Macaca mulatta: one gene and its partner. The protein of the gene in region 1 interacts with the protein of each later gene in a pairwise test. Links are inferred from orthologs where the notes say so. Each region holds a gene or a part of one and is shown on either strand. Other genes may lie near its edges.

Region 1 (7,417 bases):
CTCAAAGCTAATGTTCTTATTCTCCCTGTTTTACAGTGAGACTCGGAGAGATTCGATGGTTTTTCTGTGCTTGCACAACTGGGCTCTGAGGATTTAATATAAAAATGTCACTTAGGAAAAGACACAGTCTTTACAAGTTGGCTTAAGAGAGTCTTTTAGCATTGCAGCTGATGCTCTGTGCACATTTCTCATGGCCCTCTGTCGCTCGGAAAGCTTGTTGATCATGAGGGTTTCTAAACAATAGAAACACCTTCATCAATACATTTGGGACTCCACCGTTCTTAAATTGAAATAGCATTAATTGTTCAATGTGTGACTCTGGGGTCTGCTTAGTCATTAAGGTAGAATTTTTAACTATGGGGTAGCTAAATTGCAAATCTTCTCACATGGATTAAAGACAGAGTAAAGATTTTCTGAAATGTACTACTGATTTTTGTAAATGTAAAGTTTGTATTTTGGTATATTTTGTAGAATTTTAAACAAAGAATCACGGTGAGTTGTATGAGGAATCACAGCTCCTTTATTTTTCTATCTGGCAGGAAACATGATGATGACCGGAGGTTTACCTGCCCTGTCGAAGGCTGTGGGAAATCGTTCACGAGAGCAGAGCATCTGAAAGGCCACAGCATAACCCACCTAGGCACAAAGCCATTCGAGTGTCCTGTGGAAGGTAGATTTTAAAACATTGCTTTGAGCAGTAAACTAAGTACCAGGCCAACATTTATCTTGTTAAGTTTCCATTGTTTGAAGGTAAATGTTAGCTGCTTAAAGACTGACTCAATATAAGTTGTGGCGTTGTGTTTAGTTACCTCATTGAGTTAATTGTACTATTTTGGGAGTAGTGACTTGAGAATCAGACATGGTTTGACTCATGGCCCTGATCCTCACTAGATCTGTGGCTCTAGTTAAGTTACCTGTTTAATTTGGTGGTCATGAGGATTAGGTGAAACGTGGAAAATGCCTGTTTATCCATCTGGCGTGGAGCTCGGACTCAGTAAATTGTAGGTACTTTTGAGATCACGTTTGAATGGTCGCTCCAATCATTTTGTAATTGCATAGCAATAAAGCTAGACTGACTTTTTTGTTTGTTTGTTTTAATTTTTGAGACAGAGTCTTGCTTTGTCGCCCAGGCTATAGTGCAATGGCGCAATCTTGGCTCATTGCAACCTCTGCTTCCCAGGTTTAAGTGATTCTTATGCCTCAGCCTCCTGAGTAGCTAGGACTACAGGCGTGCGCCACCACGCTTGGCTGATTTTTATGTTTTTAGTAGAGACGGTTTCACCATGTTGGCCAGGCTGATCTCAAACTCCTGACCTCAAGTGATCCACCCACTTTGGCCTCCCAAAGTGCTGGGATTACAGGTGTGAGCCACTGCACCCAACCTGACTTTTTAAAAGGGATAGTAGAGAGGTTTCTTCCTTTAAAACACTGAAGCCTTAGTTCATTTGCCAGAAATTGGCTGCATGACCTATGCGTGCTGGCCCTACTCTAGTTCTGCAGGTGCACTGGGAGGCAGTGAGCCAGGGCATGTTGGGTGGTCATGGATTCAAAGTCTGGCTCTACTGCTCCCTAAAGTGGTGACCTCAGGCAAGCTGCTTCTTTGGGCCTTGGTTTCCTTATATGAAAGAGAGAATATTAAAGACCCATTTAAAGCTGAGACTAGCTCTTAGAACATAGTGAACATATATACAAGTGAACGTATATACAGTTCCTTCTTCCGTCAGGGTTTTAGCTGGAGGTGCAGACAGGGGAACAGGTAACATGTAGGGTGCTGCAGGGACACAGAGGGTTTCCCCAGACTGCTCTTCGGGATGAGAATGGCCTCACAGTCAGCTGAAGAAGGGGAAAGAGCACCAGACATGTGCGTGTGGGTGTTGGGGGTGGAATGGCCTGGGAGAGCCTCTCAGGGCCATGAGTGGCAGGCTTGAGTGTTTGGGTGAGTGTATGATGTGATCATGTTTGAGTTGTGGCTCAGTCTGACTTCAGGAAGGAAAGCAGCCAAGGGTGTGGGGAGGTGGGATGGCCTGGATGGGGGCGTTAATGGTGGGAAAAGAGAAAGTGGCATCGATGGCAGAGGTGGGAGTTAGAAGTCACAATATACGGTGATGGATTTGGATTTTAGTTGAGGTCAGTGTCTCAGCTGAGTGGATTTGGAGGAAACAGAGTTTAGTTTGGACATGTTGTGTTTTTGGTACCTTTGTGCATCTAATGCACAAAGGGCAGGGGATGTGCCGCTGGCGCTGAGGAGAGTAGACCAGGCAGGGAGCGAAGCAGACAGCACCCAAGTCGTCATTTAAGCCACAAAAGTGGATGAAATTCTCAAGGAAGAGTATAAATGGAGGAGAGGCAGGGTAGTGTAGTTGATCAAAAACCTGAATTCTGGAGTCACACTGCCTGGATTCGAGTCCCAAGTCTGCCTCGTAAGTAGCTCTGGGACCTTGGACAAACACTTGAAGCTCTCTGTGCCTCTTCCTCGTCTGTAAAGTGAGTAAAACCTCCCAGGGTTGTTGGCGAAGGCTGGATTGGTTAGTAAGTTTAGAGCATATGGAAAACATCAGTACATATGTCAGTTTACTGTTGTTATGATTGCTGTTAGATTTTCTTAAAAAGGACCTAGGACAGAGCCCTGGGGCTGCCCCCGATTCCAGTGGAGTGGCTGGGACGGGTACTGGCAGGACCAGCAAGAGCACAGAGGGGGTGGTGCTGAGGTGAGAGGGGATGTGTGAAAGTGGGGGTCACCTTGAGTGCTAGGGTGAGCCAGGACCAGGGAAGACATGCCTCAGTGCCACCTGCGGGGTTGTCTTGGTGTGTTGATGGATGAGGTTCCGCGGGGTCACTCAGGCAGAGTCCTGCTCTGATGCCCTGAGAGGTGGCCTGAGTGGGAGACGGGGATGGTTTGTGCTGACACTTCCACCAGAGGTGACTGGGGAAAGGGGAAAGGTGGGAGTTGGCTGTGGAGGATGGGGCATTTATTTCTGTAGAGCTCTGTTTCTTCCAGCAAGTGTAGGTGTTCTGCTGGGAGAGAAAGGGGGCACTCCCCACGTGGTGTGGGCAGCATGTGGAGATGGAGTTGGAGCTAGTGGGAGGAGCCCAGGACCTCTTCTCAGCTGGACTGAGAGTTGATCATTCTTGGGGTTGGGCAATAGTTGGGACTGATGATACCATTTTTTCCACTTTGGTAGATGTTTGAACTGTTGTATAATAAAAAGTAAAAGGCAAAACTACCTTTTTTATAGTAACAGGAGGAGGAGGAAAGGACAGGACCACAGACCAGAAGTCTGTCTGAGGGCAGGCACTGGGTGGCATCATGACAGCCTCGGGGCTGTGTGTTGCTGGGGCCTGTGTCTCGTGTGTTGCTGAGCCTCGTGCTTGCCTGGCCATCCACATGAGCGCCTCACTGTCCTCTGAATGCAGCTTGCAGACAGGTCTATCAGTAATGGCTGCTTCTGCCTCTCCCTGGTTGCAGCTTGGATTTGTAAAGAATGGACGCAGATCTCAATATATGGGCAGAATTTGGAAAAGCCAGCAGTTAGTACACATGGAGAAATGATTACATTCCTGGTTGTCACAGGAAATACAAACCAAAATGAAATATATTTTTGCCTATGGAATTAGCAAATACTTTAAAAAATGGAAACCCAGTGCTGGCAAGAGTGTGCAAGGGTCCTGTTGTAGCGTGGCCCTGCCATTGGGAAGGCATTTTACAGAAGATGTGCTTAGAGGCTCTGCTCTGTGACCTGTCTCTAGAAATCCGTGCTCAGGACCCCCAGCTGGGAAAGAGGGTTCCAGGGTACCCTGTGTACCATGGTGAGCAGGGCATGCGGAGGAAACTGTGCATTTGCAGGGCAAGCCTGGGCCGTCGGACCATCTCCTGTGTTTCCCAGATGGTCTTTGATGAGCCTGACCTGGAAATGAGTTTGCAGCTGTATTAGAAAATGAAAAATGTAGTTGAAAACTACATTCACAGGCAGCCAAGGCCCTTACTCATCTGGCCGTATCCTATCTTCATAGCCTCTTTCCTTAAAATATCCCTCCTCCAGGTGCTGGGCTCCAGCAGTACCGCCCCACCGTCCTGAGAAGGTGCTGCGAGTGCGTCGTTGCTCGCTCCACTTGCTTAGGTCCATGCAGAGGCTCTGTAGACAGGTATGGCTTTATTGGGCCCTCAGCACCCCTGAGAAGCAGGTGTCATTCCCATTTCACAGAACAGAAAAAGGAGACCCGCAAAGGATAAATAATTTGTCTAAGGCCACACTGCTGGTAAGAGGTTGAACTGGAACCCAGGCTGGGGTGCCTGCACAGCTGCCCTTCATGCCCCCATACCTTGGCTGGGCAGCTTTTTCGGCAGGAGCACCATCTGCTTTGCTGCACAGTGGCCCAGTCACCTCAAATGCTGTATACTCCTGAGACCACTTTTCTGCCTTCTTGGGAGGTGTGCGGTTTCCTCTGCCGCTCGCATGCTTCAGTGTTGGCACTGACTTACTGCCCTTTGTTGAAGCAGCTGGCTATTCTACTTGCCCCTGCCGGGTGCAGGTCTCTGGCCACCAAGAGCTCCACGTCTTCTCCCTGCACCCGTATGGGGCAGAGCGCCAGCGTAGTGGAAAGCCAGGGCACGGAGGGGAGGTGACTATAACTTTGAATGTGTCTTGTTTTTCCTCTGATGCCTGTGTGCAGATCAGAGTCATAAGTGGATTGGGAGTGTAAGCAAGGAGATGCCAGCTCTGGGCTCCAGGACACCCGCTCAGTCTCCCTGGGCATCCAGTGTCTCAGTGGGAAAGTGAAAGGACTGGCTTTGGTGATCTGTTGAGATAGTTTCCAGCTCTAAATATCATCCTAGGATTACATTTTTTATGGTAATAGCTTAATCGAGATGACTAGAATAAATTGTTTGCAACTGATTGTTTAAGCAGTTAATACTTAATTTGACTTAATCTTCCCAACATCTCCATGTAGTGGGTGAAGAAACAGGCACAGAGGTTGCTTAGACATAGCTGAGGTAGGACTTCAAATCTCCCTACGGGTTTCACTGTATCTCTTGCTTTTTAAAAAGTTTGCTTTTGACTTGAATTGCTTGTGATGCTACTCCTAGAGATATTTGGTTTCTGTCCTTGCCAGTAGCCAGGGTGCAAAATGCAGGTCTGGTGGTTCTGATCTGATGAGGAAGTGTCACTTGTTCCTGGTTCCTTGGTGATCCTCAGGTTTCACACTCATTACTCTTTTTGTTCCAGGATGTTGCGCAAGGTTCTCCGCTCGTAGCAGTCTGTACATTCACTCTAAGAAACATGTGCAGGATGTGGGTGCTCCGAAAAGCCGTTGCCCGGTCTCTACCTGCAACAGACTCTTCACCTCCAAGCACAGCATGAAGGCGCACATGGTCAGACAGCACAGCCGGCGCCAAGGTCTGCACTTTCCACGGCCCCCGTGGGGAGCTGCTTCCCCGCAAGAAACAGGAATAGTGCCAGTGCCGTCTGTTCCTTCTTCACCTCTTGGAAGTCGTCGGGCAGTGGGGTTGTGGCCATGGTTGCCAAGCCAAGTGGCCTCTTTTGCACTTTCTCTGCCACTTTCTTGCTTTTGACCCTCTAATCCCTCCCATGTCTTTTGTTTTTTGAGACAGGGTCCCTCTGTCACCCAGGCTGGAGTGCAGTGGTGTGATCATGGCTCACTGGAACCTCAGGGTCCTGCTCAAGTGATCCTCCCACCTCAGTCTCCAGAGTAGCTGAGCCCACAGGCATGCACCACCATGCCCAGCTAATTTTTGCATTTTTTATAGAGACAGGGTTTTACTATGTTGCTCAGGCTGGTTTTGAACTACTGGGCTCAAGCAGTCTGCCCACCTCAGCCTCCCAAAGTGCTGGAATTACAGGCATGAGCCACCATGCCTGGCCCCTCCCGTGTCTTTGAAATGCTTTCCTGGAAGAATGTTTCACTTTGTTGACTTTCCCTAGTATATGTCCCCTAAGCCTGTGTCTCTCACTGGGACTTTTGTCCTGAATTCTGGACCTGCCCCTCCTGCGTTTCCGTCTGCCTCAGCTATTCTCTCTCCAAGTAACAAAGGCCAGAGCAGAATTGTGTTTCAGGAGTGGACTGGGAGCAGTGAGGGCTGGAGAGGGCAGGGTTAGAGGGGAAAGTGACGGTGGCTGGGTGACCTGTAAGGGGAATGCTGAGTATGTGAGTGCCTGGTCATTGGGCAGCTTTGCAGCATGGGACTAGGAAACCTATCCCACTAGGCCTTCTCCACAGTGCAGGATGCAGAAGTGCCTGGCAGCTGTGGTGGCGGCCCCTCTGAGGAGCACGCACATGTGCCCTGCTCTCTAGGGCCTGGTGCGGTTATCGCTCCTCACTGGGCCTAGTTGATGGCATCCTAGCTAGCCCTAGAGTTACTTCTGCTGCTCAGTCCGTGGAAGCTGTGTGTGTCACCAACTGGGTCCTCCTGTGGACTGTGTGACCAGCAGCACCACAGGAGAGCACTGGCCTTGAGGCGCAGCTGTGTCACAGCTGCCGCATTGGCAGGGGACAGGCCTCCATGCCTCGCACAGAGTTTGATGAGGGGTTGGGCTCAGGGCAGGTCTGTGGCCTTTGCTTTCTTGTGATCCTATTTGGAAGTGGTCATGAAGCCCCTCCTTGGGATCTTGGACACTGATCTTTCACAGTTTACAGCAGTTGCCATTCAGCTTTATATTTAAATAAATTGCCCTTCTTGCTTCAGTAGTGTCTTGAGGACAGGGAATGTGTGTGCCACCTGATTCATGTTGGAGGGTGTCATCTTTGCTCACAGAGGCCCACGTGACCAGGCCCCCTTTCTCTGATAGCTCTATGAGACTGCATCACTCAGGCCTCTCCCCTGTTCCGCCGTTCCCTCTCATGGCACACTTCCCCTTTCCTGACCTGGCCAATTCAGAAGTCAGCAGAAGCCCAGTGTTATACCAGATGCACTTTCCTTAAACTCTAGTGGGATGTGAGACCCTCTTCTGTAGCAGCTTGTGTATCCCAGGCTTGAATTTCTTGTGCAACAATGACTTACTTGTGTGTCATCCCCCTTCCAGCTGTCGGGTAGAAGACCAGGTGTCACCATTTCTCCTAGTGAAAAACAGGCACTAGAACACCTGGTTACTGTGGGATTATGTCATGCCCTCAGTGGGTTGTTTCAGTCCCCCTAACGGTGGTCCTGGGAGTGGGGTCCTCACTGGTGAAACCAAGATAGAAAGTACTTGCCAGGGTCACACCCGCAAGAAGGGCTGGGGCTGGGCTTTGAACTGTGGTGATCATGACTGTTTTGCCAGATGCTCTGCTAACTAATGTTTATTTAGTGATTGTGTTAATATCTGGCCCTTGTACATGTGTGGTCTCTCTAGTAGTAAATGTTTATAGAATTAGTAAAGTGCTAAATAAGGAAATTTATTAATAAATGGGTATCATTTGC
Region 2 (7,417 bases), on another chromosome or scaffold:
CCAAAAATGTCTCCAGACATTGTCATGTGTCCCCAGAGGCAAATCCACACGTATCAAAGGCACCTGTGAGTTGCTACGGCAGACTGCAAGGCCCCATCCCCAGGGCTTCGGATTTGACCAGTCCAGGTGGGAGAGTCCAAGAACGTAAATTTCGAACAGGTCCCGGGGGCATGCTGCCTGCTGCTGCACGCCTGGAGAAGCACTAGGCCAGACTCTGCGAGAGCCTGCCAGCCACATGTGTCATTGTAATTGTTCTAGAAGCTACATTAGAAAAGCTTAAAAGACAAGTGGGCCGGGCGCAGTGGCTCACGCCTGTAATCCCAGCACTTTGGGAGGCCGAGATGGGCGGATCACGAGGTCAGGAGATGGAGACCATCCTGGCTAACACGGTGAAACCCCGTCTCTACTAAAAAAAATACAAAAATAATCTAGCCAGGCGAGGTGGTGGGCGCCTGTAGTCCCAGCTACTTGGGAGGCTGAGGCAGGAGAATGGCGTAAACCTGGGAGGCGGAGCTTGCAGTGAGCTGAGATCCGGCCACTGCACTCCAGCCTGGGCGACAGAGCGAGACTCCGTCTCAAAAAAAAAAAAAAAAAAGACAAGTGAAATTACTTTGATAACGTGTAACCCAATGTATCTAAAATATTATTTCAACGCAATCAACACAAAGTTATTACAAGACACTTTTTTTTTGTGCCAGGTCTCTGAAATCTGCAGGTACCTCACACAGGCCTGAGCTCTGGGCCATCATGCGGCTGGCAGCCTCCATGCTGGGCATGCTGGGTGCTGCGGCCCTAGATGTTCTCCAGCAGACCGAGAGGGGCGAGTACCTGTTTCTGCTCTGACAGGGTGCTCTCACGGTGCCAGGTGCCTAATCATAACCATGTGGCTGGCAGCCTCTCAAAGTACTTTTCTAACTCACAGGGATCCATCTAACCACATTCGTCCCTGCCTTTAATGTGCAAAAAAAGTCTTTTCTTCAGGAGGCTGAGGCAGGAGAATGGTGTAAACCCGGGAGGCGGAGGTTGCAGTGAGCTGAGATCCGGCCACTGCAGTCCAGCCTGGGTAATAGAGCGAGACTCCGTCTCAAAAAAAAAAAAAAGTCTTTTCTTGAGACCATTACGATGGATGGTAATAAGACAAAACAAGTCCCCAAAACTCACAAGGCCAACTCCATGCTTTGCTTTGTTCAGCTTCTTAACCACATTCCAATACTACCCACTGGCAAACATGGCCCAGCTCTGCCATTCCATCCACATTCAGGTGCAAGGGGCAATACAGCCCATCCCCTGCATTCTAGCAGAAGGCTGCCAGAAGAGTTCAGTGCTAGGAAGTAGATAAGAGAGGCCGGACACGGTGGCTCACGCCTGTAATTCCAGCACTTTGGGAAATCGAGGTGGGCGGAACACTTGAGGCCAGGAGTTCGAGACCAGCCTGGCCAACATGGTGAAACTCTGGCTCTACAAAAAAATACAAAACTTAACCAGGCGTGGCATGAACCTGTAGTACCAGCTACTCAGGGGAGCTGAGGCAGGAGAATCACTTGAACCCAGGAGGTGGAGGAGGCAGTGAGCCAAGATCACGCCACTGCACTCCAGCCTGGGCAACAGAGTAAGACCCCGTGCCCAAAAAGAAAAAAAAAAAAAAAGACCCAGCACTTAGGGAGGCCGAGGCGGGCAAATCACGAGGTCAGGAGATCAAGACCATCCCGGCTAACACAGTGACACCCTGTCTCTATAAAAACTACAAAAAAAATTAGCCAGGCGCGGTGGGGGGCGCCTGTAGTCCCAGCTACTCGGGAGGCTGAGGCAGGAGAATGGCGTGAACCCGGAAGGTGGAGCCAAGATCATGCCACTGCACTCCAGCCTGGGCAATAGAGCGAGACTCCGTCTCAATAAATAAAAAAATAAGTATTAAAACAAAAAGGAAATAGATAAGGAAATCAGCCAGAACCCAGCAGGGGATGGCAAGGCCCCTAGCCAAGGAGCACTCCAAGGGCTCTGTGGAGTCCACCTGGGCAGACAAGCAGTAGCAGAAGCTCCAGGGCAGGAAAAACACAGGTCCCAGGTGCAACGAGGGCGCGAGGGCTGTGGCTGACGGCGGTTGGCAGCGACCCTCAGCTGAGGAGCCCTGGCCAGAGAGGGCAAACCCTGGCCAGAGATGGGACAGGGATGGGAGGCAGTAAGCAGGGGGCCACGTGCCTCAAAGTCTCTAAAGCTCCAAAATGTACCTATCAAAAAGCTAAACACATATCCTGACTACTGCATTTCCCCTCCAAAGTCATCCTTCACAAACTGCCACAGATGCAAACAGGATGTTCGCTGCACTCCTTTTTGTTCAAGTGAGAATTACACATAAGCACCCACTGAGAGGACTGGCACAGTCCCTGCTCACACAGCAGGCCCACACCAGCAGTCCAAGAGTATAGATGTGCGCAGACATCAAAGGTGCCCCAGGACAGACACGGTGGCTCCCGCCTGTAATCCTAGCACTTTGGGAGGACCAGGCGGGTGGATCACTTGAGGTCAGGAGATCGAGACCAGCCTGGCCAACATGGTGAAACCCTGTCTCTACTAAAAATACAAAAATTGCCAGGCGCAGTGGCTCAAGCCTGTAATCCCAGCACTTTGGGAGGCCGAGACGGGTGGATCACGAGGTCAGGAGATCGAGACCATCCTGGCGAACACGGTGAAACCCCGTCTCTACTAAAAAATACAAAAAACTAGCCGGGCGAGATGGCGGGTGCCTGTAGTCCCAGTTACTTGGGAGGCTGAGGCAGGAGAATGGCGTAAACCCGGGAGGCGGAGCTTGCAGTGAGCTGAGATCCGGCCACTGCACTCCAGCCCGGGTGACAGAGCGAGACTCCGTCTCAAAAAAAAAAAAAAAAAAAAAAAAAAAAAAAAAATTAGTCAGTCGTGGTAGTGGGCACCTGTAATCCCAGCTATTCGGGAGGCTGAGGCAGGAGAATCACTTGAACCCAGGAGGCAGAGGTTGCGGTGAGCCAAGATCGCACCACTGCACTCCAGCCTGGGCAACAGAGTGAGACTCCATCTCAAAAAAAAAAAGAAAAAACAAAGCCCCCACAAACCTCTCTGCAGTGGAGACGGCTACAGAGCAGCAGCTGTGGTGCAGTACCAGTTACTTAAAGGACAGCAGTGAGCTACGCTGGAAAAGACGCACCTAAAACAGCAAAGTAGAAGACCACAGAGGGACCGACTCCACCTCCCAGCAGCTGACCCCAGGGGTGACTCAGGGAATTCATTTTCTACTTCCTACATTTGCTCACCTTTGTAGGTTTTTTTGTTTTGTTTTGTTTTTTTTGTTTTTTTGTTTTTTTTTTTTTTTGAGATGGAGTCTCGCTGTGTCGCCCAGGCTGGAGTGCAGTGGCCAGATCTCAGCTCACTGCAAGCTCTGCCTCCCGGGTTTTTACGCCATTCTCCTGCCTCAGCCTCCCGAGTAGCCGGGACTACAGGCGCCCGCCACCTCGCCCGGCTAGTTTTTTTTTGTATTTTTTTAGTAGAGACGGGGTTTCACCGTGTTAGCCAGGATGGTCTCGAACTCCTGACCTCGTGATCCGCCCGTCTCGGCCTCCCAAAGTGCTGGGATTACAGGCTTGAGCCACCGCGCCCGGCCTTTTTTTTTTTTTAAGACATGGGGTCCCACTCTGTCACCCAGGCTGGAGTGCAGTGGTACCATCTTGCTCACCAGAGCCTCAAACTCCTGAGCCCAAGCAATCCTCCCACCCTGTCCTCCCAAGTAGCTGGGACCACACGTGCACACCACCACGTCTGGCTAATTTTTTGCTTTTTGTATAGAGACAGGGTCTCACTCTGTTGTCCAGGCTGGTCTCAAACCCCTGGTCTCACGGGATCCTCCTGCCTCAGCCACCCAAAGTGCTGGAGTTACAGGTGGGAGCCATGGCACCCAACCTGTTTTTGTTTTTGTCTTTTTATGAGCAAACTACTTTTGTAGGAAAAAGACTTTTAAAATCCTGCCTATCACCTGCGAGTCCCACCTGCACTATCTTTGGCCTCTAGGATGCTCATGGAATTCTTTCTTCCAACTCAAAGGCCACCAGCGAACCCCTTTCTCAGGTTACTTCACAAGTGTTCATTTGTCAGCCCAGTCTGAAAGTCAGTTCCGCTGACTGTGACCCAAGGTGCCCTGAAGGGCAGGGGACTGGCACCAAGGGGCTGGGCCCACGAGCACACAGCCACAAGCACAGGGCCACATGATGACATTCCCACAGCAAACAGCCTCCCTGCAGCGGTGACACTGGGCCTGCGAGGGCCTTGTGGCCCGGTTATGTGCGGGGCTCAGACACCGCACCCCGCCCTGGCCTGACACACTACCCATCCAGCCAGTACCAGGGCTTCGCCTGCCATCTCACTCGGGCAAAGCCTTGCAAGGGTAAAAATGCTTAAACCCATTCACCACCAAGACAACAGAAAATGAATGCCACACTGGCGGGCAGCATGGCACAAACGCTGCATCCACCTTTCCTTCTGCTTCTCAACGAAGGGCAGGCTTCGCCGAGAAACTGCCTCATGCACTTTGTTAACAGAAGAACCTTCTGGCCACTCTGAAATGGAGCGGTTTGTGATACTGCATACACTTTAACTCTCGGCCATTTGTTCTTGTTTTCTTCTTTTTAGACGGAGTTTCGCTCTTGTTGCCCAGGCTGGAGTGCAGTGGCACGATCTCAGCTCACTGCAACCTCTGCCTCCCAGGTTCAAGCGAGTCTCCTGCCTCAGTCTCCCCAGGAGCTGGGATTACAGGCGCTCACTACCACGCCCAGCTAATTTTCATAGTTTTAGTAGAGACGGGGTTTCACCATGTTGGTCGGGCTGGTCTCAAACTTCTGACCTCAAGTGATCCACCCACCTCGGCCTCCTAAAGTGCTAAGATTACAGGCGTGAGCCACCATGCTCGGCCTCTCGGTCATTTGTTTTGCACAGTGGTACAGCAACAGCAGAATGGCAGGATGTGTTCCTTTGCAAAGCCTGTTCTCCAGAGAGCTCCAGCTTCCAACTGTTCCCACCAGGACTGGGCCATCCCCGCCCAGAGCTAACTCCACTCAAAACTCACACTTCACCTACACTCCCACTCCCAGCACCCTTCTCAGCCTGGCCGCCCTTCCTGTCCCATGCATCAGTTCAGGGTACACTACCCTCTGAACGCCTGTGGCCACTGCCCACCCCCCATCCAGCCTGCACGAAAGGCCCCTTGGTGCTCACCACAGGGCACCCCACTGACACCTCACCACCCCCTTGCCATCCCTCTACTGCACACAGGACTCATCTCTCAGGTCCCAGCCTCCAACCTGATTGCTCTAGACTGTGGCATGACAGCAGGAATCAGATAGGCACAGGCAACGTCCAGGCTTACGCCCCTCGGGGAGACAGCTGGCCACATCCAGCATCAGAGGCACGTAGTGCCGGACACCACCCCGTCTGTGTCAGCAGGACTTACGGCCGAGACTGGATCCGAGTGAGCTGGCAAAGTCTTGAGGCACTTCCCTGTTTTCACATCCCATATCCTCACACTTTCATCAAACTGAACACAAAAGAAGAAATGACAGTGATTCTACAGGAAGGAGAAGGAGCAAACCTCCCCGGAACCCAAGACCTGCCACCAGTCCATCCTCCCCACAAACAGCACAGAAAGGACTCGGGCCCCACCTGCCTTCTCCACAGTGGCTACAAGCAAGTTCAACAGCCTTCCCAACATCCAACACCACCTCCCCCAGGGAAGACACCCCGGCCACACTCACGGATCCTGAGACAATAAGGTTGGACTGGGGATTGAAGTTACAGCAAAAGACATAATTACTGTGTCCCTTCAGGGTTTTCAAACACTTCCCCTAAAACAAGAGTATTAGTAGTATTACTCCAGTGCTTATTTCCCCAAACATAAGTGTCGGATCACATTCATCAATGCCTGACAGCTCAGAGCATGCCTGATGCCCCGCCAGCAACTGGCTGTTCCCCGAAGTCAACTCGACCTCCCCCACCCGCCCCCGCCCCGTGCCCCTGCAGCCAGTCTTCCCTGGAGAGGAGCACTGAGTGCTGCTTACCGAGCAGTCAACCCAGTCCCCACCACCCGCCCTGTGCCCCGCTGCCGGTCTCCCCTGGAGAGGAGCGCTGAGTGTTGCTTACCGAGCTCACGTCCCATATCTTCAAGGTTTTGTCATCTGAGGCGGAAACAAGAAGGTTAGAATCTGACGACCAGGCTACATCGGATATTCCCTTGGGGAGAAAAAACAGGGTCAGTAACTTGCCAGGACAAAGTAGGACCGGTTAGCAAAAGGTCAAAATCCCAAACATCTCCATTGCCCTCAGGAAATCTTCTCACTAGCCTTAACCTTACAAAAGACACGCGGCCCTGGAGGAAAACAGCAGGCTTTCCACAGCTCTGCCAGCCTCACAGACACTCCTCCGTGGGAAGTCAAATGTATTTGCGTTAAAAGTTCAAGATGCAAATAACTCTAAAAAAACAACGTGGAAATTTAAATCTGAACCCACAGCTCTCGAAGCAGCCCTGACCCCTTGATCACTAGGAGCCACCCTGTTCAACAGTCAACATTACCGCACGGGGCTGAAACCTACCAGCTTGTGGCCAGATATGGTTTTCTCAAATTTCCCATCATACGCGCCCCAAATTTTAATGAGTTTATCAGCGGCTGAAAGAAAACAAAAGGATCTGAGGCTAAGAGCAAGACACAGTTGTCCAGTCATCCAGAATCCAAAGTCTGGGCTTTTCCCACATGAGCCCCAGATGATCAGCATGAACCACATGGCTCAGAACCCATTCCGCACGGCCACATCCCCGAGAGGACCAGTCCCCTTCCCCTCCCTCCAAGGGCCCACGGGCAACTTCTTCTATTTCTTTTTTCGTTTTTTTGAGACGGAGTCTCGTTCTGTCACCCAGGCTGGAGTGGAGTGGCATGATGTCGGCTCACCGCAACCTCCACCTTCCGGGTTCAAGTGATTCTCCTGCCTCAGCCTCCCAAAAGCTGGGACTACAGGCATGTGCCACCATGCCTGGCTAATTTTTTTTTTGTATTTTTAGTAGAGACGGGGTTTCACCATATTGGCCAGGCTGCTCTCAAACTCCTGACCCTGTGATCCACCCGCCTCAGCCTCCCAAAGGGCTGAGATTACAGGTGTGAGCCACCACGCCCAGCCCCCACGGGCAATTTCAATCGGCACTAAGGTGACAGTTCTAGGAGGAGACACGCCCACCTGCTACAGCCCCCCAGCGGCAGGTGAGGAAACCAGCCACCCCCAGCCGGTTTGTTGTCTGCAGCTCAGACCGCCTTTCCCAGCAGCTAAGGACCTCAGTGCTACGTACATGAACTTGCCAGCCACTCTCCATTCGGGCTGAATTTCACAGAGGACACTGCTTTGGTGTGGCCAG

What was found. The genes of interacting proteins can lie anywhere in the genome.
Region 2: the proteins of ZXDC (region 1) and WDR5 interact in binary tests that used the Homo sapiens proteins (3 or more experiments, as listed by UniProt). The link is inferred for Macaca mulatta from reciprocal best matches to the Homo sapiens genes ZXDC and WDR5.

What each region holds. Positions count from the first base shown.
Region 1 is NC_133407.1:157,499,101-157,506,517, forward strand, and holds part of ZXDC (zinc finger protein ZXDC), read left to right. Parts: intron 1-539; coding exon 540-670; intron 671-5,225; coding exon 5,226-5,396; intron 5,397-7,417. UniProt on the Homo sapiens protein: Cooperates with CIITA to promote transcription of MHC class I and MHC class II genes.
Region 2 is NC_133420.1:8,367,488-8,374,904, forward strand, and holds part of WDR5 (WD repeat-containing protein 5), read right to left. Parts: coding exon 7,352-7,417; intron 6,681-7,351; coding exon 6,607-6,680; intron 6,247-6,606; coding exon 6,157-6,246; intron 5,862-6,156; coding exon 5,772-5,861; intron 5,555-5,771; coding exon 5,471-5,554; intron 1-5,470.